4 linked regions of the Saccharomyces cerevisiae S288C genome follow. Changing the gene in region 3 together with the main gene of any one other region gives a genetic interaction. Each region holds a gene or a part of one and is shown on either strand. Other genes may lie near its edges. The genes, in order: RGP1, ERV14, SEC22 and HSL1.

Region 1 (8,154 bases), on a different chromosome or scaffold from region 3:
TTAGCGTACTCTAGGTAAATGTTCCACTTTACTTTTCCCTGTTCACGATGCTCTCTTTTAGCAATATTTTCATCGTCACCAAAATCGATGCTTCCCAAAGTTGCATCACTGGCCCTCCTTAAACTTATGGCGTCAGAGTTGCCAAAATCCAAATCATTTAATTTCTGCAGTTGTTCCAGCTCTCCTTCTACAGGTATACTACTTTCTCGAACTGAGCTTTCAGAGGAGTCACCGAATTCATTCGACTTACCGTTATTTTTTTTACCATAGTTGTTGAGCAATTTCCATAATGGCGAATCAGCGTCCTTCGTAATCTCATCATATGTACCCTGCTGTGTGATTTCTCCATTATCTAATAATGCAATAGAATCTGCGATGGATAACGCGCTCACCTTATTAGTGGCTAATACCTTCGTTTTTGTATGTAATAAACCATTTGGACCCAACACATGTTCGATCAAGTGCCTGGCAACGTGTTCATCAACAGCTGCCAAAGGATCATCAAGTAAATAAGTGTCAGCTCTCGCATAAACTGCTCTTGCTAAAGACAAACGAGCTTTTTGTCCTCCAGATAAGGAGATCCCTTTCTCGCCAACTAATGTCTTATCTCCATCCATCAAAATTGCAAGATCAATAGTTAACGCACAGGCCTTGATCGTTTTTTCGTAAAATTCCGCGTCGTATCTATGCCCAAATAAAATGTTTTCCTTTACAGTACCATTCATTATCCATGGAACTTGTGAAACATAAGCAACAGAACCATGAACGGTGGCGAAACCTTTAACCCTGAATAGATCACCTAACATGCATGACAATAGAGCTGTTTTACCACTGCCAACTTTACCAACAATACAGGTCAAATTTCCTTTTTTAGCTTGGAAATTAATATTCTTTAAGGCTACTTTGTATTCCGGTTTCCGTTGCCATAAAAAGGTAGCATCATCTCCAATGTTAATGGCTACATCGCCAATATTTTTTACTTTTGGTAAACGCTGAACCGAATCTGGTTGTAGCTCTTCATTGGTAAAGAATGTAAATAATCTACCAATAGAAACAGAAGCTTCGATAAAAGAATTTAAAACCATAGGAATAATCATTAGTGGGAATGAGAGCAGGTTGAACAGAGTCAAAGCAGGGAAAACTAAGTCAGTAGTCAATGCTCTATCCTCAGTATAAACAAATACAGCAAAGGTACAACATGAAACAAGGAATGGTACTATATTGAACTGAAAACTTGTCACAGCCATATAACATCCTAGTTTTGTAAGATTTTTTAACTCTTTGTTATTTCTTACTTCTTCTAGCTTTTCCCTATAAGGCTTCTCCCATGCATATAACTTCAAAGATTTAATATTGTTTAGTATTTCACTTATAACACGGGTCCTTTCATCTTTGTACTTCATCTGGGATTTTTGCAACTTCTTTTGTATCCTCATCAAAAATGAGTTCAATGGCATCATAATAACTAGTATAATCACGCCAACCCACATGGAATTTCCCAACAACTTATACAGAGAATATAAGCAAATAATGATTTGAAAAGGCCCTGACCATATTAAATTTAGCCATTGTGTTAAATCTTGTAATTTTTGAACATCCACACTCATGAGATTGACAATGTCACCGGTAGAGGAAAGTCCAGAAGCCTCATTAGATAGCACTAAGGATTTTTGATATATTAAAGCCGTTAGGGCGCTCTTAATATACATGCCTGTGTTGAAGACATTCAGGAAATATTGATGCAGGACAGATGTCTGAGTAAAGCCCACCAGAAACATAGCAAACGCAATCAAAAACCCTCTTACAATGGGTAATTTTTGTGGGTGGTTATTTTCAAACCCTTGAAGAGAAGAATGGTCATCCTGTCTCTCACTGTTATAGTCTGTGACGAACTTGATTAAAATCCTTAGTAGTTGTGGTTGAGTAAATGCTAGAACATCATGAATTGCTTTAAAGAATGCGGCTAAAAGCATTTTAGATCCAAAAGTTCTGCATATAGCCCATGATAATGAAGGATTTGATTTTTGCTTCAACTCATTTTCCCAGTTTTTCTCCAATTTTTGAGAGAGTTCTTCACTACTAAAGTTCCTCGGTAATTTATATAAATCTGCTTCCACTAAGTATTTTTCATAGCCAGTTTTCATCAAACCTGACATCCAAGAGAAGGTAATCCTGGAAAATATGTTTGCGCTATCGTATGGATTTGGTTTTCTTCTTGTTAAAGTTTGATGTATGTGTTGATGTGGCATTAGCGGCTTCTTTGGAAGAGCTTCAAGTAACAGGATACTGGCACATGTTATTACTTGGAATAACGTTAGTATGAAACCCGTTTGTCCGGAATACCAAATGCCTTCGTAGGTGTGTCTAATTAGAATATTTATTAGTTTAGCAAAATTACCGAATGTTTCAAAAAGCCAATAGAATAAAAGTACCGTATTGGCTACAACTGATCTATCGTATTCTATCCAGTGTAAGGCTAAAGCAACAAATAAAGATAACATTGTAGAAGCATATTGACTTACAATGGTAAAGTTTTCCGCTTCTTCTTTAGAAATATTTAAAGACGCAAGTGAAACAAACGCTATCTCCAACAGAACTAGTGCCATCCTAGAGACAATAATCCAATTCCGCCTATATTTGATGCCAGAGTGTTTTTTCTTGCAAAGGTTAACTAAATCTCTGATACCGAAGGTTATCATGAAAATTGCTGATAGATTTAGGATCACACCGTCGATGAAGCATTGAGTAAAGTCACCGTAAAAGGATATAGGTCCAAACCCTTCAGGAGATCTACAGAGCTTGCAGGCCCATGAAACAAGATTACCAGCCATTTTCTTGTTCTTTACGGTAGTACGATACCCCTAATTTATTCTCAAACTGTTAATTGAAAAATTGTAGGTTGTAAACCAGCTTCCACATAGCAGATGATCACAAGAGGTTATCGCACCTTTTATAGCAGCTGCTAACTTTTTTCATCAATTTCGTAATTACTAAGCCGTAACCTTCCACCGCCCAAGCATCACACCAGGAGTTACATATTTTTGTATTATCATAAAGAAACACACGCCAAGATATCTACAGAAACCAGATGTTAGCATTAGATATATATATTCGTATTGATGCAGCATAACAAGCGTACTATGGATTGCAAAGTAATGTAGATTCCTGACCAGTAGATCTGCTCGCGCAAGAGAAACATTCATGAACTCTAACGACAATAACAGTAAATCCACCTCACGGAGAACGATAAAAGTCTTCATTTCTCCATGAGGTGGAAACGTTGTTTGAATATTAAACATAATACTTGAACTTCTTGTGTAATTTTTATTTTTTAATCGAAGTCTACTCCGAAGTCTCCTATAAAGCGTAAGGCGCGTCTCCAAAGTGCTATTTTTCAAGATCAATTCAGCTTCAAAGAAGCTTTGATACCTACGGGGCAATGCAAAGGCTGCCAGTCGAAACAAACAGCGAAAGCTAGCCCATAATTTCTTGAGCTGTTGATTTTGATTGTGATATTTTTCATACTTTAGAAGAAGATATGCGTGCGCACAGAATCGATACATTTCTCATAAGAGAAAACATCAAACTGGAGATCATACATGAATCGAATTCCTATTTTGGTGGAGAACATATATCAATTGCTTTCCGATTTAAGCACCTAGGCTCACAGCATGAATTGTTCAACTATAAAGAAAAGCTTCTCACTGTCGATAAAGCTGTTGAAGAGAAGTTGGAACAACAAGCGAAAGTGCAAGATGATGGTGAAGGCACGATGGAAAATCAAACCTGGTCCCTAAAATCATTACTAGGTGCCTTCAAAAGAACAGGCGAACCTGAAGAGAGTGTGGATGTGGATAACATGAAAATGCTAAATGAGAGTAAGATGTTAAGAGAAAAAATACAGAAGCAAATGTATTTTCATCAACCTGTAACGTTAATATCCGGTTATGTTCAAATATCGGGGGTCTTTCAATACGATTCAGAGGTAATTTCAGAGTCAAAATTTAAACAAGATGAAGTAAAAATGGTAGGACTAGATATTGTACCTGGACATACGACAAATTCTGTTCTTGCATTGGAAGATGGAGAACATTTCAAAGGTAAAAGAAATTTAACCAACTACCTCAACTCAGATTATACAAATGTGACCAATGGTCTTCTTTTCTCAGAAAGCGGTTCTAGGGGAAGAACAGGTACCTATAACGAACGGACCTTAATGATATCAAACGATACCAGTATAAAAACATTACCTCTTCTTTTAATACCACAGACGCTTTTATTTTCTGAAATTTCTTTAGAACCAGGTGAAGTAAGAACATTCTATTTTAAATCCACAAAGCTGCCAAAAGATATATGCCCAAGTTATTCATCGTCAAAAGTGGCATCAATAAATTACACGCTGGAGGTTGGTGCGGATGTACTTTCTGATGATAATATCGAGAAATTTTCAAATAGAGTCCCAATAACAATAGCACCATATATTAGTTCGAATGCCGAACAGTACACATCACGTCTGGATAAGCCTGCTATCATATTAAAGACAGGTAACATAAAGGAACTAAAGCCACGTTTGTTTACTCGAAAAGTTTCTACGGCTTCTGCTGTATCATTTGGTAGGAGAAAATCTTCTATAATTGACATTGATTCTCCATTAGAAGATAATGAATTTGTCAAGCGTGTCAAAAAAAACTTCATTGAACTGGTGGAATCTAACCAAAATGTGTCAAGAGATATAGACGAACTTATTGACTTGCAAATGGGGGTACAGTTCGGAAAGGATGAGGATTCTTCGGATCCTGAACCCAACGACTCACACTTTTCGAACGAAATGGTGACGTCTGCAGAGTCTAGCCTGAGAAGCGATGCTGTAACTAAGAGGAGAAAAAGTTATTCGGTACGCGATAACATTTCTAACCTCGAGCAAAAGATGTGGAACGATTGTTCTCTCGTTAAGTCAGATGAGAATTCTAATCTTCTACCTCAGCTAATTAATTTACAGAACGCATATCAAATTAACAGAAATAATGAGACTATGGCAAAAGTATCCTTATCAGCACCTTTTTATAAGACAACTGATGATATAAATTTAGTCATTGAATTAGATCCGATAACGACGCCTTTACTTAAAGTGACTTCGTTGACTGTATCCTTAGAATCGTTTGAAATTATAAATCCAAAATATAAGACTGAAGGAAAAGGAATAGGGAGCAAACCAAAAGGAAACTCGGTGTATGAGAAACATTTTATTTGTTTCGATGAGTGCAAGTCCGTATCGGTGAAATTACTTCCTCCAAGATCGCCTACAAACCAGATTACCGGACAATTCAAGACAGATGTTTTTCAACATAAGTGGATGATAGGACTAAAATTTGTAATAATTGCAAAGACAGAAAGTATCACTTTGGATCAATTTTATGAGGATAAAAAGGGCATCCTATTCCATTCAAAAGAGAATTTAGAAGGTGAAGAGTTTACATGTTACGTTCCCATTCCAATACTGTGTACATCCGAAGATTTCATGGGATGGTAAGCAATAAATGGGTGCAGTTTACTCGTATAATTGGTTTTGCATTTGAATCCAATCCAGTAAAGAGGATTTACTATACTCTCTTCATAAAGGGTATGTACAGATACATTTATAAGTTAGTTAACCGGCTTTATTGTCGTAATAGTCATCTCTTGATGTCATGGGTTGCTGTCCGTGCGATTTCAAGACTGCTCATTTCGCACGATGCATATTGCTTCTCTAATGACATTTTTCGTTAGAATGATCAGGTTTTTGCCATAGCTTGATCAGTAAATTAATAGATGATTTTAACAATTCAAGAGGCATTAAAACTTGGGCAAAGGAGTAATAATGTCTAATACCGAGGAATTGATCCAAAACTCAATAGGTTTTCTCCAGAAAACTTTTAAAGCACTCCCAGTTTCGTTTGACTCCATTCGACATGAACCACTTCCATCTTCAATGTTGCATGCAAGTGTTCTCAATTTTGAATGGGAACCGCTCGAAAAAAATATTTCGGCAATTCATGATAGAGATTCTTTGATTGACATTATACTTAAAAGATTCATTATAGATTCAATGACAAATGCTATTGAAGACGAAGAAGAAAATAATCTTGAAAAAGGGTTACTAAATTCGTGTATAGGTCTCGATTTTGTGTATAACTCAAGATTTAATAGATCTAATCCAGCTAGCTGGGGAAATACCTTTTTCGAGTTATTTTCCACCATCATTGATTTGCTAAACTCACCATCTACGTTTTTGAAGTTTTGGCCCTATGCTGAATCACGTATCGAATGGTTCAAAATGAATACATCTGTTGAGCCAGTATCATTGGGGGAGAGCAATTTGATTAGTTACAAACAGCCTTTATACGAAAAGCTGCGCCACTGGAACGATATTTTAGCTAAATTAGAGAATAATGACATCCTTAATACCGTCAAACATTATAATATGAAATACAAACTAGAGAACTTTTTATCCGAGCTACTACCTATAAATGAAGAATCGAACTTCAATAGATCCGCTTCTATTTCAGCTTTACAAGAATCTGATAACGAATGGAACAGATCAGCACGTGAACGAGAAAGCAACCGCAGTTCCGACGTTATATTTGCTGCAGATTATAACTTCGTGTTTTATCATCTAATTATTTGCCCGATCGAATTTGCTTTTAGCGATTTAGAATATAAAAATGATGTGGACAGATCATTAAGTCCCCTTCTTGATGCAATCTTGGAAATCGAAGAGAACTTTTACAGCAAAATCAAGATGAACAATAGGACTAGATATTCCTTAGAGGAAGCTCTGAACACTGAGTATTACGCGAATTACGATGTTATGACCCCTAAATTACCCGTGTATATGAAGCATTCAAACGCAATGAAAATGGACAGGAATGAATTTTGGGCGAATCTACAGAATATTAAAGAATCAGATGACTACACTCTTCGACCTACCATTATGGATATCTCTTTGAGCAATACGACCTGCCTTTATAAACAATTGACTCAAGAGGACGATGATTACTACCGCAAACAGTTCATTTTACAACTATGTTTCACAACAAATCTTATACGCAATTTAATTTCTTCTGATGAAACGAGGAATTTCTATAAAAGCTGCTATTTGAGGGAAAACCCGTTGAGCGATATTGATTTTGAGAACCTTGATGAAGTTAACAAAAAGCGTGGGCTCAATTTATGTTCATACATTTGCGACAATCGTGTTTTGAAATTTTATAAAATTAAAGACCCTGACTTTTATCGTGTTATCCGCAAATTAATGTCTTCTGACGAAAAGTTTACAACCGCCAAGATCGATGGCTTTAAAGAATTCCAAAACTTCAGAATATCTAAGGAGAAGATACCGCCACCCGCTTTTGACGAAACTTTTAAAAAGTTTACGTTCATCAAGATGGGGAATAAATTGATTAATAATGTTTGGAAAATACCTACTGGTCTAGATAAAATTGAGCAAGAAGTAAAGAAGCCTGAAGGTGTCTATGAAGCAGCCCAAGCGAAATGGGAATCAAAAATTTCTTCTGAAACTTCCGGTGGAGAAGCGAAAGATGAAATAATCAGACAATGGCAAACTTTACGGTTTCTAAGATCGCGATACTTGTTCGATTTTGATAAAGTTAACGAAAAGACTGGTGTTGATGGTTTGTTCGAGGAACCCAGAAAAGTGGAAGCGTTGGATGATAGTTTCAAAGAGAAACTTTTGTACAAAATCAATCAAGAGCACAGGAAAAAACTTCAGGATGCTAGGGAGTACAAGATTGGAAAGGAAAGAAAGAAGAGGGCACTGGAAGAAGAGGCTTCGTTTCCTGAAAGAGAGCAAAAAATTAAGTCGCAACGTATAAACAGCGCTTCTCAAACAGAAGGAGATGAGTTGAAGAGCGAACAGACGCAACCAAAGGGAGAAATATCAGAAGAGAATACCAAAATAAAAAGCTCGGAAGTTTCTTCGCAAGATCCTGACAGTGGTGTTGCCGGGGAGTTTGCTCCACAGAATACAACAGCTCAACTAGAAAATCCAAAAACAGAAGATAACAATGCAGCTACTTCGAACATTTCTAATGGTTCATCTACCCAAGATATGAAATAAATTATCCTCTTAATAGAAATTTTAAACTGATAAGAAAT
Region 2 (4,924 bases), on a different chromosome or scaffold from region 3:
TTTTTATTTATTTTTTTCATTTTAGTATTTTATTCTTCGTTATTTATGTATAGAAATTTTCATTTTCATTTAGATTCAGATTTGGTTATCTTTTTTCATTATATATCTTTTGCACTAAGTTTCAACTTAAGTTCTATTTTTTATTTTTTTTTTCTGGGCCCTGGAGCAATAGATATGGGATGGCTTACTGCATCTCTTCAAAATTTCACAGTCATGCTCACCCTTAAGTTCTCAACCTTTTAGTTTTTTTTTTTTTTTTTTTTTATTTTGTATGGCATACTAACTATACAAATATTTATATGTACATTTATACAGTAACCTATTATTTACCGATATTCACCGGTATTTTACTTTAATAGATGCTGGTAATAACGAAAAAAATTGATAACTCCCACCGACAATTGAGAAAAAAAGCAAAAAAGGAAAAAAGGGAAGCACGAATTAATACATTCTGTGTATTTATCTTTTTTATCTTCAGTTTTCCTCCAATCTATGGGCGGCCATTAAGTATGTCTATTATTCTTGGCCCTTCAGTCTTCTTTGGATTTCAATGTCTTGTTGGATTAGAAGTCATCACCACTTTCAGCAATCAAAGCCATGATCATTCTGTACAAGTAGAAGAAGAACATCAATAAGTGGAAACCTAACTTTAGGAAACTCTCCCTTTTATGTTTGCCTAAAGTTCTGAATATTTCGGTAGCATCCAAAAGTTGAACTTTATTGTAGATCTTGTTTAGATTGTAAGCTAGAACTGGTAAGTTCAATAAAAATACAAACCAGTAACCGTTCAGTAAGAATAGTAATGACAAAGCACCATGCAAGGCGGCTTCAGGGGTAATTAACTTGTTAACTTTAGAACATAATTCAATTGGATTGATATAGTCAGCTTCTAAATCAGCGTATAGTATTGTGAAATGCACTTGGCCAAACAAATTGATACAGTTGACAACAACAGCAAGGATAAATAACCAAGCACCCATTTTTCTTTTTATTCTTAATTTTTTTACTTTACTTTAATTGCAGTTCAAAGGTAAATGTCTTTGTTAAGTAGGCAGTGAGACATAATAATATGAGAAAAATCCAGGTCTCTCCTTCGTATTAAGGAATACATGATCTAGCTATCACTCTTAAATCTTTCTCCTTCCTTGTTTTTTCTCCGAAATGAAGAAAAAAAATTTTCTTCACGGAACTAACGTGAAAAAAAACTTTCAAAAAAATACTCCGATACGGGGAGTCGAACCCCGGTCTCCACGGTGAAAGCGTGATGTGATAGCCGTTACACTATATCGGAAACAAATTAACTGAAAATGTTGTATCTCAAAATGAGATATGTCAGTATGACAATACGTCATCCTAAACGTTCATACAACACATATGAAACAACCTTATATCAAAACGAACAACATGAGATAAAACCCGGCCTTCCCTAGCTGAACTACCCAAAAGTATAAATGCCTGAACAATTAGTTTAGATCCGAGATTCCGCGCTTCCACCACTTAGTATGATTCATATTTTATATAATATATAAGATAAGTAACATTCCGTGAATTAATCTGATAAACTGTTTTGACAACTGGTTACTTACCATATATATTATTGAGAAATGGGTGGATTTTGAGATAAATGTGAGAAATGGGTGAATGTTGAGATTGTTGGAATAAAAATCCACTATCGTCTATCAACTAATAGTTATATTATCAATATATTATCATATACGGTGTTAAGATGATGACATAAGTTATGAGAAGCTGTCATCGATGTTAGAGGAAGCTGAAGTGCAAGGATTGATAATGTAATAGGATAATGAAACATATAAAACGGAATGAGGAATAATCGTGATATTAGTATGTAGAAATATAGATTCCATTTTGAGGATTCCTATATCCTCGAGGAGAACTTCTAGTATATTAGGTATACCTAATATTATAGCCTTTATCAACAATGGAATCCCAACAATTATCTCAAAATTCCCCCAATTCTCAACATCCGACTGCCATGCAATGTGCTTTTCTGGATCTCACTCATGATCATAATGGCCCTGTAAAAGGCTCGTACTGTTATTATCATATCTTCAATTACGTATTATTTCGGAGGCTGTACCTATTAGTGAAATAACGCCTCTAAAAATGAAAAGAAGAAAAAGAATATGAAAGGGGTTCTGAATTGCTAAAATATTTCGTCAAAGCTCAATTAGTATCAAGATCAAGTCGTAATTCGAATCAGCATAACAACCTCCAAAACCATATAATAACCTTACACAAGACAAGATATCAATTCAACATGCAAACCCCTTCAGAAAATACCAACGCCAAGTCGGATTCTCTCGACGAACCCGGTGCATATTTAATCGAGGAAAATGTGGCTCTTCCTAAGGACATATTCCATTCGTACTTGAGTTATTGGATATATGAAGCAGCTCACTGTACACCGGTCATGCTTTTGTCTCTAGTAATTGGGGTTTTAATCTCAATAATTATTCTTTTTCATGATAACGAAAATTGCGTTGGGGTTTCTGTAGGGTTTCTCCTCATATTCTCTGGCATTTTAGTGATAGTTCTAATACTCAGGTTTGGACCACAGATCAGTGATGAAGATTTCAAATGTAAGCTACTGATGGAAATTATCACACGGAAACCTACGGTAAAGGGGAAAGAATGGAGGACAATTACATACAAGATGAACCAGTATTTATTTGATAACGATTTATGGAACACTCCCTACTACTTTTACCGTGATGAAGATTGCCACCGTTATTTTCTAAGTCTTATTAAGGGAAGAACTTTCAAGAAGCAAAAGGAATCGTCAGCCAGCAATGTTAAAGACGCACAATCAAATGACGAAACCGCTGGCACACCAAACGAAGCCGCTGAGTCTTCTAGTTTTAGTGCCGGACCGAACTTTATAAAGCTCCTCACCAAGGCAGCCGAAATCGAACAACAATTTCAAAAGGAATATTGGCGACAAGAGTATCCTGGTGTCGATGAGTTTTTTTAGACAGAAGACGGGAGACACTAGCACACAACTTGACAAAGGATCTACTTCTCGATTGACGACACTAGTAGGTGTCAAATTTAGTGTCATTTATGATTTTTTGTAATAGGATATAAATATATACGGCGCTCCAAATAATGCAGTTGCCCCAAAAACACCACGGAACCTCATCTGTTCTCGTACTTTGTTGTGACAAAGTAGCTCACTGCCTTATTACCACATTTTCATTATACATCACTTCGCAAAATGCAATATTGAAAATGCCTCTAGAGATGAAAAACAATCGTGAAAAGGGTCCTGCGTTATTAAAACATTTGATCAGTATGCAATGGCACAGAGACAATCAGGAATACTATAGTCATAGACGATACAAGGTATATATTGGTCATGCAGACCCCTCTAGAAAGTACCGACGTCAAGTTAGATACACTCAACGAACCTAGTGCACATTTAATTGAGAAAAATGTGGCTCTTCCTAAGGACATATTCCGTTCGTACTTGAGTTATTGGATCTATGAAATCGCTCGCTATACACCAGTCATGATTTTGTCCCTGGTAATAGGGGTTTTGGTTTTATTAATTATATTTTTTAATGACAACGAAGCTTGTGTTTTCAATTCTGCATACTACGCTTATCTTTCTCTTGTAGTATTGTTAATAATATTAGGTGATGGTAATCCAAAGCTAGTCAGTCGTCGAAATTTTAGGACCGAGCTTTTAGTGGATGTCATCACACGTAAACCGGCAGTAGAAGGGAAAGAATGGAGGATCATCACATACAACATGAACCAATATTTGTTTAATCATGGGCAATGGCATACTCCGTATTACTTTTACAGCGATGAGGATTGCTACCGTTATTTTCTACGCCTTGTTGAGGGAGTAACCCCCAAGAAGCAAACAGCCACGTCAATTGGCAATTCTCCGGTCACCGCTAAGCCTGAAGATGCCATCGAGTCAGCTTCTCCTAGTTCCAGACTGAATTATCGAAACTTTTTGCTCAAGGCAGCGGAGATCGAACGACAAGCTCAGGAAAATTACTGGCGAAGGCGGCATCCCAATATCGATGCGCTTCTTAAAAAGACGGAATAGCTTAGAGACACTGCCATACGTAAAGCGAACATAAACTAGAGTATGATATATAATCAGCACTAACTGGCCCGAAAACGGCCGAAGAAGCCTCGAAAAGTCGATTCGTGTTGGACCCATTTGCTGAACGAAGTGTTCATTGCCTACCTATTATGGTAGTAGTCGTGATAATCGTGTGGTTGGTTTTGTCAACGGTGCATTTGCATTTTCATGACAATAAGCCTTGCGTTTTCGTTCTCGGGATATTACTTTCCCCCCACTTCTTTCGCCTCGATAGCTCCTATAAGCATTCTCAGGGCGTATGTCGGTGATCGAGATTTCCAAGCAAGCTTTTAGTGGAAATCATCGCGCGCAAGCCAGCGGTAAAGGGAAAAGAACGGAGGACGATTACATACAAGATGAACGAATAAATAAATTAATAATAAATAATAATAGAAAGTACAGTAGCATTAAATATTATTAAGTTTAATGATTAAAAATTGGTTAATTGTCAAGAAAATCTAAGGTATTAATAAATAAATAATACTATGACAACTTGCAGCGAAACGATCAGCCCCAATGAAAATTAATCAGAATTGAATTTGAGCGTATCTATTTGATAACGGTTTACGTAACTGTTGGAATAAAAATCAACTATCATCTACTAACTAGTGTTTACGTTACTAGTATATAATCATATACGGTGTTAGAAGATGACGGCAAATGATGAGAAATAGTCATCGTTTTCAATGGAAGCTGAAATACAAGGATTGATAATTGTTGGAATAAAAATCAACTATCATCTACTAACTAGTATTTACGTTACTAATATATTATCATCAAAATTCACCCACTCTTCAGTTA
Region 3 (6,633 bases):
TTATATGTTATTATATAAATAAAAGCTGTTCATTTCTTTCTTCTTGAAATATGACTTTACCTATCTCGATAAAATTCATTTGTGGTCGTCTTCATTCACTCCTGGGCAATGCTCGTAGAGATCACCTTCATCCTTATACTTGATTCCGCAAAAAAAACAGTAGTACTTCTCGGACCTCAGGAATATATTCAATTTTGTTATTCTTTTTTCAATGCTCAATTCTTCTAATTCAGCAAGTTCTGTGTCTTTTGTAATGCGACTACCGATAATTGAAGTATCACAATCTATTAATGTAGAAGGACGTCCAAACTTTTCACCTTTTATTGCAGGCGAAGCCTCCAAACTTTCATTTACCATTGGTATCATATTATTCTTATCTTCATTATCATTGTTACTGTGATTATTTAGGTCATTTTTTGCTACTTCCTCATTTAGTTGCATAACGTAAGATCTCCAAAGTACGTTAAAGTCTCTCGGATCTTCGCCTGGATTGTATAAATCGGAATCACCCATCATTTCAAAAGCAACTTTTTGGATCCTATACCAAATTTTTTTTAACCGCTTATTATTTTTCATTTCACTTTCTCTTTTTATAAATCGTTGTTCACTCATCTGCATGTCATTCATTGTTGATGGGTCGGGCTTTTCTGCACGAATTCCCCTCCTTTTTGTATTGATTTCTACCTTAATAGGCTCTTTTAGGGCACTTTCATTACTACCTAATGTTTCTCCTTCTTTGTAACCCATGTTTTCCATCATTTTATAACCCCTGGGCATGATTGAACGTAGTGATGTGCGTGCAGTTTCGTCATTTGTTGAATCTCTTTTTGACTTCTTCTGAGGCGGTGTATTCTTCAAATCTATGCGATCCTCTTTTCTTTTTGTCTTACTCTCCTCCATTTTATGCCCTCCCTGAAAGTGATGGTAGATGTGTAGCGTACCTCTTATTGTCCGTCCTCTTATTCTGTAATTCTTAAATTAAATTCAATCCAGTAAATATTACAATTGAATTGATACCTAATTTTTTCTATTGACTATATTTCAGAGTCAACGTGATCGTTCTAACTTTCATTATCGATTATAGATATTATTCTCAGCAGTGGAAATCTTTTTATCTCAACTCGTCACCACACAAAAAAATGGAGACAGGATCCGGAAGACTCAGGAGGATAGAGCAACGTTATTGAACAGTGTTTTTAATTGTTTCATTCTTAGTCTTTAATTTATTTACTTTAAACCGACGGTTATATAGTACGTATTCTATTATTTTTTAATCACAAAATCTCAAATAGGCATGCCTTATGTTGTTGTGAAACTAAGGTATATAAAACAAACAACTTTCAAAAAAAGAAAATGAGAGTAGGAAAAAGGTGGATGATGTGAGAATTTTAACAACCTTTATTTAAAACCGTTCACAATCTTGGGTATTTTTGGGATACCATCTCTTTCCAATTGTTTAGTGAGTTCTTCTTCCAGACCCCTTTTCCACAAATCATGATTTTCACCAATAGCGTAGGTGATTGTCTTGTTCATGTAGCCTTCTGGTCCTAGATAATTTAACATTTCAATGATGTCTTCCAACAAGATGGCCTTGCCCGCGGCAATACTATTACCTAAACCGGGATGCTTTATGTTAACGATGTGAATGTGGAAATGATAATAAGAAGGTTGGTAGTGAACCAAAATTCTCAACTCATCCGGATGGACAGCATAGTTGTAACAACCAGGAACAATGGATCTAATCTTGTTGTTCAAGTTGATTAACCACTGTCTGTCAGAATATCTTAAATCCCTTATTGTCTTGATATCGGTCCTGTAGACGATCGCAACTAGATATAAAGAGTCTAAGTTCATGCCATCCCATTTCATATCAGGTAAAATTAGGAAGCCGTCGTCCTTATTCTCCTCAGAAAAATCTTTATAAACGACCCTTTCTGACTCAGCGCCTTCATAAAGAATGTTGTTTACCCATTTAAGTCTACCGTTATTACACATTTCTTCGATGTAAGGCTGAACAATTCTCTTGTACATCTCAGGAGTCTCTCTGACTAAATGAAAGTTTTGTTGTTCATATTTCTTGATATGAATTGGAGTAGCAGGCCAAATTAAATTCAACTTGGCGGTAGGGTTCGACTCCATATCCTGCTTTATCACTGACAAACCCCAGTAGTAAATATCATTGGAAGTAATCTCCTTTAATTCCTGAATTCCGTTGATGCAAGAATATTCGTTTTCACAATTATATAAAACTGGAGTGGAGCGGCCATCTTGAGAGGGTCTTCTCACGGTTTCGTCAAATAGAAAGTGCGTCTTTTCAGCCGTGATAATAGCATCCTTGTTGTCAATGGTTCCCAATAAGGACATAACTTTGGTTTGAGGGTTGGAATCGAGGACACTAACAAATTGGAATCTCTTGATCAATGAAGCAAAATCTGTTGGCAGTTGAGACATGGTATATGCTAATTTTGTCGTTTCGCTTTCTTTTTTTTTCCAGGAATTATAACTTAATACTATGTGATTATTTAGTTAATACACAGACAGTTAATAGAGTAGTGATGGCAATTCGATCATCCAAAAGAGTTGGAAAGCCTCTTTTCCTTCGATATATAGTGATGATATCCTTGAAAAGACTCCCTAAAAAGTGCAGGTGCGGCGGGTCACCTGCCAGCTTGCCTGAAAAATACGTAATTATGTCAAATAAATTGCCATACTATACTAATACTGAACTAGACTATGTTATACACTTGGACCAAATTGATCGGGATTTGTGATGTGGGATGATGGGGTGACGTCTATTTGAGGAAGATCCACCAGAAGAGAAAGACGAAAAAGAAAGCGACAATGACAATAGGAGCATATTGACTGATCAAGAGATCGAAGTTGATCTTTTGCGCGGACTTTCTGTACCTTTTGGATGTTTCTTTCAAAGAAGAACTCATGTCACTCATTTTATCGAGAGAATCTCCCCTGTAAAGTAGGTCTTCGATGTTCTTGGACATGATTTGCTTGACACCTACAAGCTCTTGGTTTAGTTGGTCCAAATTGTCCTGAACTTTCTTATCACTGTATGACTTTTTTGTCATCTGTAGAAAGTTATCAAAGTTTACAAACTGGTATGGTCTTACGGTAGGCTTGGGGTACTCATTAGCAAATGAGTGTTCAAATTCTTGCGCTATATCGTTAAGGTATGAGAATGCTAAGTTTCTTGGGTATCCAGATTCGCAAATGACGAAGTAGTACACCATGGATTTCTTCAAATAATGGATCTCAAAGGAGCCACTTTCCAAAGTAGCCTCCGTGGCAGACTGTGGTGTCAATCTGGAAACGACGATTTTCACCTTTTGCTTTTGTTCAAATAATGAGGGATCATTTTCGTTGTCCACAGACGTACAAAGAGGCAGCCCATCTTCTCTGTAGATTAGTGTTGACTTTATCATCCCTACTTAATTGTGAGTGTGTAACGGGGTGTCACTGTCAGGGTTTTTGTTGGTTTTGGGTAATAATAGGTTGTAGATATATTATATTACATGGGCTCTACTTGTTTATCTTCTATGGTAGAAAAAGACCGAAAAATGAAAACAAAAAGCGTTGAGGATTTATTGCTAAAAAAAAATTCGTTTATGACGTCTCTTATTAGATAAATCAAGTGATAACTAGAGAAATTTATTTAATTATATATGCTAGTACAACACGTTTGGTTGAAAATTAGACCTCAAACCACGACAAACTTCTGTCTTATATCGAAGAAAGTTGGGAAACTCTCCCGCAGGTCCAGATTTGGTAAATGGTCTTGTAGGTTACTGATATTAAGAACGTAGTTAGAGTCGTCCTCTAATTGAGCAAATCCCAATTTCTTGCATTGTGGTAGTTCATTCCATGAAGTGAACTCTATACAACTCATATCATTTGACGCTTGTTTTTGGTGTTGGGTGGTGTCGCAAAGGGTATTGTTGATGAACAGTTCCTGCAGATTTGGTAGGTAAAATCCCTGGATTCGGATGGATGAACATTTTTCAATACGTATGATTTTGACAGTGAGCGATCTTAAAGAGTTGTTCTTCAAGCAAATCATTGGCCTCTTTAAATGGTGTCTTTGTTTGAAGGTATCATCGCTAAATGAAGAAGTAAAGGGGATCCAGTTGATTATTTGAGTTTTTTCTACCCCCTCAGGTATCAACTTGACTCTGAAATAGCAAGTACCATCGTTGGTTTCGTTAATTGCCATTTCTTGCAAAATTTTAATGTTTCCCCTCAATGATTTGATGTACCTTTCTGGTGAACCTGAAAATGTTGTTTCGTCATACTTGAATTTGTGCCCAGTGAATTCTTTAATCTTGGGCATTGACCAATTTTTCAAAGAGTGCAACTGAAAGAGGAAATTTATCGAGATATTCTCACTTAAACATTTGTTTAGAACATATGAAGATAAATCTATGAAGTTACAACATTGGGTAATCTCATTATTGTTTGGGTAGGTAGACATCTTAATAAAATTCAAGGTAACCAAATTAGGGAAGCTGATATGAAAATTGTTGAAGAATTGTTGCAAGATCGACTTGATAATTAAAGCTGCTACTGTCGTTGTCGAGTTTAAATTTAAATTTTTATCCACGTCAAACTCATTGTTCCTTTCAAATGTTTTTATCTTTGTTGTTAGTTTATGCAGTATCGAATTAAAGAATGAATCAAGGGCCATATAATCCAAATTCAATGTTTCAACAAAGGGAAAACAGATTTTCTTGCAAATGGGGGGTCTTTTCTTCCCCTTTTCGTTAGTCTTAGAAAAGAAGTTTCTATAGTTTTTATTAATCAGCTGAAAAATATCGGGATCAAAAATCCCAAAGAAATTTTGATCCGAATAGATATTTGAATCCACGAAGTCCAGATACAATGTGTTAATATCAATATCTGCGACTATGTTCGCAATATGTAATTTTTCCAAAGGTGAATAAAACGAACTCTTTATATTGCGAACACAGAATACGAACTCGATTATGTTTGAATTGGAATTCGCCAAGGGGAAGAAGGTTTCTATGAGTTTCAAATCTGAGAATTCGTCAAATATAACAATAAGTTTTTCTGCTTTTAAATTCTGGGCCTTGTCAGCATTGGTTTCCAAATCAACAACTCTGATATATTGTGCGTCCATGTCAATGTATGGCAACAATCTCTTCAGAAACCCGTACTCCGCTCGTAAAATCGAGTCTTGCGTGGCCTCACAGGTCAGATCTAAAACCATCAAATTCTTCCTAACGTAATTTGTCAAGAAGTCTTCCGTTATAGAGCCACCACCTCTCGAAGAGACAGAAAAATCAATTAGAGCCACTAAATTGTACAACCAATATTGAGAGTCTGTTTCCACCACAGTGAACTCAAATATCCTTTGGATAAGCTCAGTAGGCAAATACGTTAAAGCGGCAACCATCCTTTTCACTTCTACCCGGAGAATATATAACTTTCGAAATCACAGCCTATATATTGCACAAATTTCACGTAGAGCTCTAGCTGTGAAGATAGAATCATCAACTTTAAATTTGCTTAAATCTATTTATACAAGAAATGATCAACTGAATAAAATAACGAGCGGCTGAAAATTAAGGGTTCTTTCGTGTGTGGAGTTACAGTCCGTTGCAACGCCTTTCCAACATGCACACAAAACCAACAGTGGCTTATTCGCCAGAGGGTACAACAATGACTCAGAAATCATGAAGAGGCATTAACAGCGGTCAGCAGTGGAGCAATAACAACAGGGTCATTACTTCTTTACTACTTGTACTTAGAATACATCACGACAAGGTGCAATGCGGCGCCTTTCCGCGTTGACAAACTCTTGAAAAGCCCATGACAGGTGGAAAACACGTGGTTGGTACGGGACGAATAAGAAAGAGGCAAACGGCACTTAGTTTGTTGGGATGGATGGATCCCATTTTCCTATGAAATCTACTACCGGAGAGCCCGTTTCAAGTGGTAAGAAGGGCAAGAGGAGGAAGGTCATCAAGTCATGTGCATTTTGTAGAAAAAGAAAACTGAAATGCAGTCAGGCCAGGCCTATGTGTCAGCAATGTGTAATTAGAAAACTACCGCAATGCGTTTACACAGAAGAGTTCAACTATCCCTTGTCTAATACGGAACTGTTCGAGCAAGTGCCCAATGTAGCGTTGGTTCAGAAGATTGAGAATTTGCAGACTCTACTGAAGGAAAACGATAACAATAATGCGAAACCGGTGTATTGCAGGAGTTCAGAAAATCCATTACGGTCACTGAGAACTTCGGTTTTAGGTGATAATGGCTCGAGGTATGTGTTTGGCCCCACTTCCTGGAAAACTTTATCTTTGTTTGAACAAAATAAGTTTCAAACTGAGTTTCAAAATTTATGGAAAGTCTTGAAACCACTTCCTGAATGCACTAAATCGCAATTAAATGAAAATGATGTTGTAGCAGATTTGCCTAGTTTTCCTCAAATGGAAAGCTGTATTAAATCTTTTTTTGCTGGACCGCTGTTCGGCATATTGCATATCTTCAACCAAGACGATATTCTGTCCCTCTTGGACAGACTTTTTATTAGAGATACCACGGACAAGAACCTAGTCATCCTCCTCGATTTGCAAGGTAATGCAAAAGATAAGTATAATC
Region 4 (10,573 bases), on a different chromosome or scaffold from region 3:
CGCAAGTTTCTCTAGCATTTCGTCCACCAAGTTGGGGTCGCTACCGTACAATAAGGAACTATCCATGGAGGAACGCTGAACCAATTCCAAGTGCATGGGGAAGTACCACCTGGACGCCTCTTTGACATGTGAAGGTGACACAAACATCTTGCCGCTATGTAGACCAATTAATCTAGACAATAACACCACGTCGTCCAATGAATTTGTATATACCCCGCCGGCTTTGGCGTTATACGTCAATCTATGCGTTCGCAAATGGACCATGATATCGAGAATATACCGTCTTACAGTGGACCCCACAAATACATCGTTCAGATTTGCCTCTTCATTTAATATGATCGACCTCTTGCTCTCTGGCTCCTGCTTCTCTTCCTCAGCCATACCAATGCTATTATTGGCTCTTGTATTAATGCTAGACTCAGTTGAACTTTCAAAATCCAAATATGGGGGTGCACATGCAAACCAGAATTTGTGTTTGAGCCAAGCGCCCATACGGAAAGACGTGGGCAGGAAGATGCGAGTTTTGGGAGCTGGTTTACCTGCTTCATCCCCATCCTTAGCGGCGCCTGAAGGCTGCACGGGATTATTCCAATGAACCACTCCTATAAATATACGTGTTGACTGTGCCTTCTCAATCGCCACTGTGCAATCTCTCATAATTTTTACTAATTTCGCTTGGTCTGGCTGTAAAAGAGAATTTATGTCTGGAATGATAACAATCTCAAATTCCTTAACATGTGTAGTTGCTAACGAGTCCAAGCTTGCAGTTGTTGAGTTCAGAACCGTGACCTTTATTCCTCCGCCCGGATAAGCGTCATTGATTGCCCTCTTCAGTTGTATATCACAAGTACTTGGCATCGAAGAGGCTAATTTTTCCTTTGAGACGCTGTCTCTATACATACATAGAAAGCTCTTTTTAGCTGTAACAGAAAACTTCAAACATGTCTGAAAATCCGGCAGATTATGATCGCCCATTCCTATTTTTGCCACATCCAATCAATAATTTTGCAGCTCCGATTTTGCAGGTGTTGCTGTTCAATGGAAGTAATCGTTGTTATAAAGGAGCACATCACCAAGTCCTCTAAGGCTTAAAGGTTTGTCGTTATGCACGTAAAAGATGAAATTTTTTTATGGCTAGATGAGCTCATCGCGATTTGAAGAAAAAGAGTAAAGAAAACAATGCTAAGAAACTACAATAAGAGCAAGTTGCATATCATCGAATAATACTAGTGGGGTTTTCTAGTTCGTTACAGCCAACAACAGACAAAAGATATGGCTAAACTTGTACATGATGTTCAGAAAAAGCAGCATAGAGAACGTTCTCAGCTAACTAGCCGTTCCAGATATGGGTTTTTAGAAAAGCATAAAGACTATGTGAAACGTGCTCAAGACTTCCACAGGAAGCAGTCCACTTTGAAAGTCCTCAGAGAAAAAGCAAAAGAGAGAAATCCAGATGAATACTACCATGCTATGCATTCAAGGAAGACAGATGCAAAAGGACTGCTGATCAGCTCACGTCACGGTGACGAAGAAGACGAATCGCTTTCCATGGATCAAGTTAAATTACTCAAAACGCAAGATAGTAATTATGTGAGGACGCTGAGGCAAATAGAGCTGAAAAAGCTGGAGAAAGGAGCGAAACAGTTGATGTTCAAAAGCAGTGGGAATCATACAATATTCGTCGATTCCCGAGAGAAGATGAACGAATTCACCCCAGAGAAGTTTTTCAATACCACCTCCGAGATGGTGAATAGATCTGAAAATAGATTAACTAAGGACCAATTAGCCCAAGATATTTCAAACAATAGGAACGCTTCATCAATAATGCCAAAGGAATCATTAGACAAAAAGAAATTGAAAAAGTTCAAGCAAGTCAAGCAGCACTTACAGAGGGAAACTCAATTGAAACAGGTCCAACAAAGAATGGATGCTCAAAGAGAATTGTTGAAGAAGGGTTCCAAGAAAAAAATCGTAGACTCTTCAGGAAAAATTTCATTTAAATGGAAGAAACAACGGAAACGTTAGATTTTTACCATCTATATAGTATATATAAGTGAATCAGGCAGACGTTCCGTAATCCTTCTTTTCATGTTTTATAGGATTACGTTTATAAAAAGTATTCACTTTTCTTAAGTGTCTTTTGCGCCATCAAAAAAAAAAGGATTTTGAGGCACCGGAAAAAAAAGAACCCCTCTCCGAATGGGAGTATTTAGGACAAGATTTGTAAAGTGCTCCCTTTTTGAGCAATACTACAGATCTATAATGGGGAACAAACTCATACACGATGGACAAGTATTTGAATTCATTTGTTGACCACCTTTCAGAGTGGTCATCTCGTGCCTTTAGGAACAATTCATCAAGCGCTAACCAAAGTGCGTCGAACAAGGAATTAGAACAAGTTTTTGAACAGATCAATGCTATAGTTGAAAACCACAATAACAAATTAACCACTGCCTTTGATAAGATATCATATCGCGTTGCTCACAAGATTACACACTTGGTGGAAAGCCATTCTTTAGTATTCAACTACGCCACTTTAGTTCTCATCGCAAGTGCTTTGGTCGTTATTGGCTCATTTACGTCTATTTCTTCTATTCCATTTACAGCTCTACCTCCTACGAGAGAACACTCATTGTTTGATCCTACAGATTTTGATGTGGACCACGACTGTCATGTTATCTACCGCGAGAATGACGAAGATAAAAAGAAAAAGAAGAAAAGCAAGAGGTTTTTCGATATGATGGATGAAAAACATGCGATTATACTGCCCTTAACTAGTGGCTGTACTTTACTCGCTCTCTATTTTGTGATCAAGAAACTACACCTAAACTGGCTAAAATATGTGGTGAAAATTTTGAATTTTAATATAACACTGCTAAATATCCCAGCTGGCACATTTGTCTACTCCTACTTTCTCAACTCACTTTTCAGAAACCTATCACATTTAGCTTCTTGGAATCCCCTGGTTGTTTTACCAAGGTATCGTGTAACAATAGCTGATGATAACGAAGACCTGAACAAGATAGGCGGGTTTGTTACCAATTTGAATTACAAAGATGGATTGACCAACTCAGTTGTTCACAAGAAAACATTGGATGAGATTGAAAAAGATCATTGGATGAAGCATTTTTACAGAAGAGAATTAGTTGAACCGAAGGATATTAAATCGAAGAGGCAGATCAGCAACATGTATTTGAATAGCGCATTAATTGTTTCGTTCGTTCTGTCCATCGTTTCTACCGTATATTTCTATTTATCACCCAATGATTGGTTAATATCCAATGCTGTCAGTATGAATATGGCTATTTGGTCCATTGCTCAATTAAAATTGAAGAATTTAAAATCAGGGGCCCTAATCCTAATTGCTCTATTTTTTTACGACATTTGCTTTGTCTTTGGTACCGATGTAATGGTTACAGTAGCTACTAACCTTGATATTCCCGTAAAACTAAGCTTACCAGTCAAGTTTAATACAGCTCAAAACAACTTCAATTTTTCAATACTTGGTCTGGGTGATATTGCCTTGCCTGGTATGTTTATTGCGATGTGCTACAAATATGACATCTGGAAGTGGCACCTTGATCATGATGACACTGAATTCCACTTTTTGAACTGGTCATACGTTGGAAAATATTTTATTACTGCTATGGTTAGTTACGTTGCTTCTTTGGTATCTGCCATGGTCTCCTTGTCCATTTTCAATACTGCTCAACCGGCTTTATTATACATTGTTCCTTCCTTGTTGATTAGTACTATTTTGGTAGCTTGCTGGAACAAGGATTTTAAGCAGTTTTGGAATTTTCAGTATGATACGATTGAAGTGGATAAAAGTTTAAAAAAAGCGATAGAAAAAAAGGAGAACTCTATAACTTATTCGACCTTCATCCTATCAGAATACTATAATGATGCCGACAAGTATGCCTTGCTTGGTGATGATGTAAACGAAAATTTTGACGATGATGAAGAATTCGTGCAAGAGGAAGATCTCAGTGACAGCTCTGAGGAAGAGCTTTCTGAAGAAGATCTCTTGGATGACGAATCTTCTTGAGCTCCAAAAGAAACGACAGCTCTTTTTACCCCTCCAGGGTTGTATTTATCTTCTAATCTAGGACAATGTTTGTAAAACCCTCTTTCTTTCCTTCGTGTCTCATGTCTCTCCATTTATTAATGTTCTTTTAAACTATGTTTTCTCACGCCTGTCCATTCGGTTCTCGTACGTTAAATTTTTCAAATTATTGTTGTATAATTATATAACATCTATATAGAATTTATGAACGTCCGGCATTTCGAATTACTCTCTCCACATCATCATTAAACTTTTCAAAGGCTTTATTGGAACTTGTGTTTGAATGTTTGCTTCTTTTTTTTACAGTAATTACCGTAGATGCATTGGGTGTGCTAGTAATCTTGATTTTGAATTTGAAGTTGCCTTTTACAAATTTACAATCGTATTCCACCACCTTTCTCCCAAATTTGTGATCTAGGTTCTTTAATTGATAGTCGATACTATTCTTGTTGAATTCATTTAATGTTAGCATATGCGCATCATCAAATGATATATTCGTTACATGATTCTTGGATGCCTTAGTAGCATTATTATGAGAAGAAAAGTTTTGAAATAGTTTGACGAACCAATTCTTTTTATCACTGGAAGGCGCTTCTTCAACTTCAACATTTTGGACACTTTTTAGAATTGGCTTTTTTGTATGGGTTTGTGTATTTGATTCCATAGCGGTATCCTTCGTAACTTTAATCGTTGAGGGTTTTGGTATTTTAGAGTAGTTATTTTCTGTATTATTTGCATTTTCCTTTTTTTCAACCACCGGCAACACAAGTTGAGAAGATTCCTCGGATATTTTATTGTCTAGCTTGGTATGCTCTTCTTTAATTTTTCCCCCACCTACTTTTTTAGATTCTTCCTCCTCCTCATCGAAAAGCATTGTCACTCGTTGTTTTGGATTAACGCTTTCCTCAGATGGTCTTCGCTTTGAATAGCTCATACTTGATTCAAGAATATCAGCTTGAGAAGTATGCCCATCTTGATCTTCCTCCAAATCTTTGAACATTGACTGTAAACTTTGAGAAATGCCTAATGCATTACTATCACGACTACCACGCGTGGAAGAAAACCTCTTTTGCATATGTGTATTAGAAGGATTTTCTGGTGACAATCTAAGTTTAGAAAGTATCTCTTCAGTAGTCTCTCTGGGTATACCAGAACTGTTATTATTCCAATAAAGACTTACTCTAACATTTGTCGCGGGAGTAAGAACGTTTGTTGTCGCCATAGTGTCAATAGATACCGCTTTCCTATGCACACTTGCTCGTGAATCGCTTTCTGAAGAAGATGTATTTAATGAACCCTCATCGGAGGGCGCATCTTCAAAAATATTAATGGCTTTTTCATCATATGTGTTTGGTATAGTATAATCTGGAATATAATTAGTATCGCTATTATCTGGTTCTTTTTCCTTCGAGATATAGGCTGCCGATTTGATTACTTTTTCTTTTGTAAAAGAAGATGCTTTGGGCGAAGTATTGATTTTATTATTGTCCGTGTCGTTGTTCATCAGTTGAATCGCCTGAGCGGTAAAGGTGTTTGTTGGTATTTCCATCGCAAATGTCATATCAGAGATTCCATCCAGATCATTACTCAAATAGGAGCCAGGTGAGCCCTGATTACGTTTAACGGATAAATTGGCGTTCAAATTAGACCGTGGAGTTAGAGATATTTTGGCAGATTGTTTTCGCAAAGGGTGTGACATGGCTACACTTCTAGATTGGTTCTGTGGCACACTTAGATGCTTATCATCACCGTCATCAGCGAGTATCTGGCTAAGATTTTTGAACGTCATAGATGTGTTCAAAAAACTAGAAGGTAAAGACAGCATTGGTTTTTGAATTGTACTAGATTCTGCTAAAACACTGGGATCTCTCGAAGATGTTGCTACTGTTGTTAAAGGTACATATGAACTTTCGATTGAAACATCTGAGGCTTTGACTGGTTTTTCGTCTTCCACATGTTCACTCATGAACAAGGAACCTCTCTCATGGGTCCAGTGAGAGGCTGGCTCCTTTTTGAATTTCAGTCCCTGCAATAGTGATTCCACTTTTGAATTCACTGGCTGGGAGATGTTACGGCGGGGATCTAGAGATAAGGACGGTTTACCTTGATCATTAGGCAAAGAATTTACACGAAGTTCTTGGTGCTGAATAGGTTTGAGTGGTGACGGGCGGTCATTTTTTTTTTGAAGTTGTTCTCTTTGAATCTTTTTTTCTATCCTCATACCTTCCTGTTTATTCATTTTATTGAATGAGTTCGTGATATCTGAAAGGGCCGCTCTCTTTGGCTTCTGTTCTTCCAAATAACTTGAGCTTAACGTGTTTTCTTTTTCAAAGATAGGAAATGAAGAGAGCCCTGACATATTCTCAGATGGTTTATATGACATATTGAATTGATTTTTCTCAATTTTGGTTGGATACTCCGGGCCCTCATTTTCCTTATTTGTAGACACCCCAGAGATCGTAAAAGTGTCTGCCGAAGATTTTGTATCGTTTTGCCTCTGTCTTTGGGTGTCGCGTTCTTTTTCATTGTCCTCTTCCTCTTCGAGTATCCTATCTAAGGCGTTTCCAAATAAGATCTGATCGCATAAGATCTCAAAATCAGAGTCTGATTCCAACGAATGGGGTTCTGATTTATTCACATTTTCGGATGCTGGTTTCTTACTAGGGAGAGGATCGTCAAAGACTAATAAATCATTCAGGTTCAAGGAACGTTTTGAAATTGACTGTAATGAGTATAAGGATCTCTTTGAAGCCGAGTTTTGTAGTGTTCTTCTAGCGGCAACAGTTGCAGCTATATTCTTCCTCGAAAGTGATTTATGTATTGATTTAGTAGATGGGGAGGCGTGGATTGCCCTTCTTGACAATGAATATCTTGAAGGCGACTTCGGCAGTTGAGGTAGAGGCATCTCATTATCATGCACAGTTTCTCTAGAAGTTGAAGCGGACAATGATAATCTGGAATTCGATAAGCGTAGCGATCTTCTCGAACGTGATGAAATAGAGGTGTATGAGTTACGGAAAATCCTTGATGAAGAAGCATTGAATATGGGAATAGCGGGTGGTAATGTTACAGCTTCTGCTTCAGCCTTATCACTTTCAGGTTGACTGAGCGTATTGATACTAAATTGCGATTTTTGTGCCAATACAGGGGCATTAATTTCTGTATTAACCCCTGTAATTGCGTTGTTCTGATTCACTGTTGAAGTATCTTCTGAATGAATTTCTAGAGAATGTAAAGTCTTCACATCATTGTTCTCGCTCCTTAGGCCTGTATTATTGGCAGTTTTGGATGCGTATTCAATCCTAGGTTCATTTACGCTACTTTCTGTTGCTGATTTCTTGTTTTCGCTTGACGAGGACAATGATATTGAGTGACGTTGTTTATATTGTAATAACAGTGAGTAGAATAGTTTTTCCTCCGACATTGGCTTTTGAAGCAACTTGGCAGTGATTAGTTCACGAGAAACTCCATGCCACAAAATTTGCAAACTCCTCAAGATGGATTCATCAATTTCCCCTTTTGAATGTAAAGTTACAATAGAGGGCGAGACATTATTTAGCAAATGCAAATCCGAGTTAGATTTTCCCCTCGCCATGTTATCCTTTCTCATTTTCCTCAGCACTTTATTAACTGGGAGATCATCATATTTTTTGATCAGAGGATGCTTCAATATCTCTTGAGTGGTAATTCTTTTTTCTGGATCAATTACCAATATTTTTGATATCAAATCACGAGCCTCAGAAGATAAATTTGAGGGCATTTGATATTTGCCCGATTGAACTTTCAACAACAGCTTTTTGATGTTGTCATCATTAAATGGTAAATGACCGGTGAGTAATGCAAATAAAACGATACCGCAGGACCAGACATCGCTAGGACCGCCATGATATGGTCTACCCATAACAATTTCAGGAGACGCATAGTGTGGAGAGCCACATGAAGTTTTTAAAAGTTTATTAGGAAGCTCTAATGCTGCCATGCCGAAATCAGCAATTTTGATTCTCCTATTCTTTTTATCTAATAATAAATTTTCAGGCTTCAGATCACGATGGCATATATTAAAAGAATGACAATAGGAAACACCTTCAACTATCTGCTTGAAGTAATGGATAGCCTCCCTTTCAGGTAGCTTTCCCTTCGAGACCAGATAATCGAATAATTCGCCACCATCAACATATTCCAAAACTAGGTACAGCTCTGATTTGTTCTCCCAAACTTCAAACAATGCCATAACGTTTGTGTGAGATATCAATTTCATGATTACTATTTCTCTCTCTATGCCATATGGGTTCGTTTGAGAATGGTTACTATGTTCTCTAGATGCTATTGATGGAGAAGATACATTGGAAGTGACCATGGAAGAAGAGTAAGAATTAGGAACAGTTCCATTATTAGAACAATGAACAAAGGCTTTCTTCTTGGGGACAATTTTAATGGCAGCTAATTGTCCTGTTTCCATATTTTTAGCCAAGCGAACCCTACCAGAAGATCCCTTCCCCAATGTTTTGCCAAGTTTCCAAGGACCCACCGTGTCTCTGGATTTTCTCTTTGATGATTTTGTAGCAACACTTACGGTAGAGTCGGGCTGAGATAATCTTTTGGTAGCGTCGTTCACAGATTGTACAACACGCTCCAAATGCCCCGACGCCCTTTTTGGATTCGAATTTACTTTGGCCATGGCCCTTTTAGCTGCCTTCTTGGCCAATGAAGACGGGCGACCTTTGGGTACGTGGCTCGTTTTTGAAACGTGACCAGTCATGTCGTGTGGTAAAAATAAAAAATATTAATAACAAATAATAAAGGAGTGAATATAGTTGGTTGTTGATTTATTTATCAGTATTTTTTGTCCCGCAAATCTATGTCGTTCTTTTTACCTTGTCTTTCTTGTAATTTTATTATTTATCTCTTTTCGCGATTAGTAGCAAGTAGTATGATGGATATCCAACCTATTTGATGATCTATTTGAGTTCAACTCTCTGTTTTAATGGCCTCTCGCTGTCCAATTTACGTCCTTGCAGTCGGATAACTAGCGAACTTACGATCCAAAGGGAGTTTTAAGAAGAAACAGGTTTCGAGCAAAAGGTAACTTGCTTATATTAAGAACGCCAATAAGAGTGGCCACTATAATGCTGCTCCCAGCCGGTACAAGACGGTACGGTACGTGATGGAGATTAGTTTTCACTATTTAGCCCAAACAACCCAACGCGAAAATGACCACGCGAAAAGAAAAATTAGTAAAAATATTTCACAACGCGAAAAATAAGGACGAAGGCAACACATTCCACCTTCCCTGTTATTGTAAAACGCACAAATGTGTGCTTTATTCGCTGAGGTTTCATCGACAGCTGCAGCCAGTTGTTCATTCGGTGTTCTCTTGTGCAGCGGCTCAAATTGTGGCAGGCTTGTAGGCTCCGAACGCCGTAAGGTACTTTATGTTTTTAATGTCAACGTTTGCAAGAAAATGTCATCCTATTACTTTCTGAGGCATGATAACATTGTAATCCCTTATCTCTTGCGCTTGTTGGTATCAGATAAAGAAGCATCAAACAAGAACCCACTCCTTCCTTTTCTCATGGATAAAGAGAGGTCGCACCATTTCGTGAGGAATATGAATTAGTCAGCTTCTACTTTAGGGTATAGGTTGCAAACTTCCGTTTTTCTCAAGGTTTAATCAGAAGCATAATAGGTCTTCGGATGATTTCTTGTCTAATTCAAAAAAAAAATAATCTGGGATAGGTTTTTCGGGAAAAACAACTAGGGGTGATGCTGTTTTGCACCTCTATTACTGTAAGATAGGCTATGCAAGCAAACGACAGTAAGAAAGAATAGGGTTAAGTGAAATAGTTGACACACCCCTTAATCGTTCCATTAGATAATAAAAATTCATTTATAAGCAGTTGACTTCACAGAACAAGACATACACTGTATAGAGCCTGATCAGTAATCTTAGTGCAATTGTAGAAACCTGCACAACCAACAAAATTAAGAAAAAAAGAATGGAGGAACAACGTGAAATACTGGAACAATTGAAGAAAACTCTGCAGATGCTAACTGTAGAGCCATCTAAAAATAACCAAATCGCCAACGAAGAAAAGGAAAAGAAAGAAAATGAAAATTCGTGGTGCATCCTCGAGCACAATTATGAGGATATTGCACAGGAATTCATTGATTTCATTTACAAGAACCCTACCACTTACCATGTAGTATCATTTTTCGCGGAGCTGTTAGATAAGCATAACTTCAAATACTTGAGCGAGAAATCCAATTGGCAGGACTCCATTGGCGAAGATGGTGGGAAATTCTACACTATAAGAAATGGAACTAACCTATCTGCCTTTATCCTGGGCAAAAACTGGAGAGCCGAAAAGGGTGTCGGTGTCATTGGATCTCATGTGGACGCTTTGACGGTCAAATTGAAGCCCGTCTCCTTTAAAGACACAGCGGAAGGTTACGGAAGAATTGCTGTTGCTCCCTATGGAGGTACACTGAATGAATTGTGGCTAGACA

The links.
Region 1: mutations in SEC22 (region 3) and RGP1 together harm fitness more than expected from each alone (negative genetic interaction), as found in Saccharomyces cerevisiae (4 studies listed by BioGRID).
Region 2: mutations in SEC22 (region 3) and ERV14 together harm fitness more than expected from each alone (negative genetic interaction), as found in Saccharomyces cerevisiae (4 studies listed by BioGRID).
Region 4: mutations in SEC22 (region 3) and HSL1 together harm fitness more than expected from each alone (negative genetic interaction), as found in Saccharomyces cerevisiae (5 studies listed by BioGRID).

The regions. Positions count from the first base shown.
Region 1 is NC_001136.10:724,721-732,874, forward strand, and holds RGP1 (Rgp1p), read left to right. Parts: upstream 1-3,538; coding exon 3,539-5,530; downstream 5,531-8,154. Other genes in the region: ATP-binding cassette glutathione S-conjugate transporter YCF1, read right to left, coding at 1-2,831; HPR1 (Hpr1p), read left to right, coding at 5,858-8,116. UniProt on the Saccharomyces cerevisiae protein: The RIC1-RGP1 complex acts as a guanine nucleotide exchange factor (GEF), which activates YPT6 by exchanging bound GDP for free GTP. It is thereby required for efficient fusion of endosome-derived vesicles with the Golgi.
Region 2 is NC_001139.9:400,308-405,231, forward strand, and holds ERV14 (cornichon family protein), read right to left. Parts: upstream 981-4,924; coding exon 564-980; downstream 1-563. Other genes in the region: pheromone-regulated DUP240 family protein PRM8, read left to right, coding at 2,282-2,995; DUP240 family protein MST27, read left to right, coding at 3,380-4,084. UniProt on the Saccharomyces cerevisiae protein: Could regulate export of the bud site and axial growth sites selection protein AXL2 and possibly other secretory proteins from the endoplasmic reticulum in COPII-coated vesicles. Seems to be required for axial budding pattern in haploid cells.
Region 3 is NC_001144.5:677,004-683,636, reverse strand, and holds SEC22 (SNAP receptor SEC22), read right to left. Parts: upstream 3,438-6,633; coding exon 2,793-3,437; downstream 1-2,792. Other genes in the region: CMG1 (Cmg1p), read right to left, coding at 76-900; DCS1 (5'-(N(7)-methyl 5'-triphosphoguanosine)-(mRNA) diphosphatase), read right to left, coding at 1,399-2,451; BOP2 (Bop2p), read right to left, coding at 3,713-5,425; PDR8 (Pdr8p), read left to right, coding at 5,913-6,633. UniProt on the Saccharomyces cerevisiae protein: Nonessential SNARE involved in targeting and fusion of ER-derived transport vesicles with the Golgi complex as well as Golgi-derived retrograde transport vesicles with the ER.
Region 4 is NC_001143.9:247,172-257,744, reverse strand, and holds HSL1 (protein kinase HSL1), read right to left. Parts: upstream 8,826-10,573; coding exon 4,269-8,825; downstream 1-4,268. Other genes in the region: MTC2 (Mtc2p), read right to left, coding at 1-975; rRNA-processing protein UTP11, read left to right, coding at 1,273-2,025; YPF1 (aspartic endopeptidase), read left to right, coding at 2,285-4,048; YKL102C (uncharacterized protein), read left to right, coding at 9,378-9,683; metalloaminopeptidase APE1, read left to right, coding at 10,063-10,573.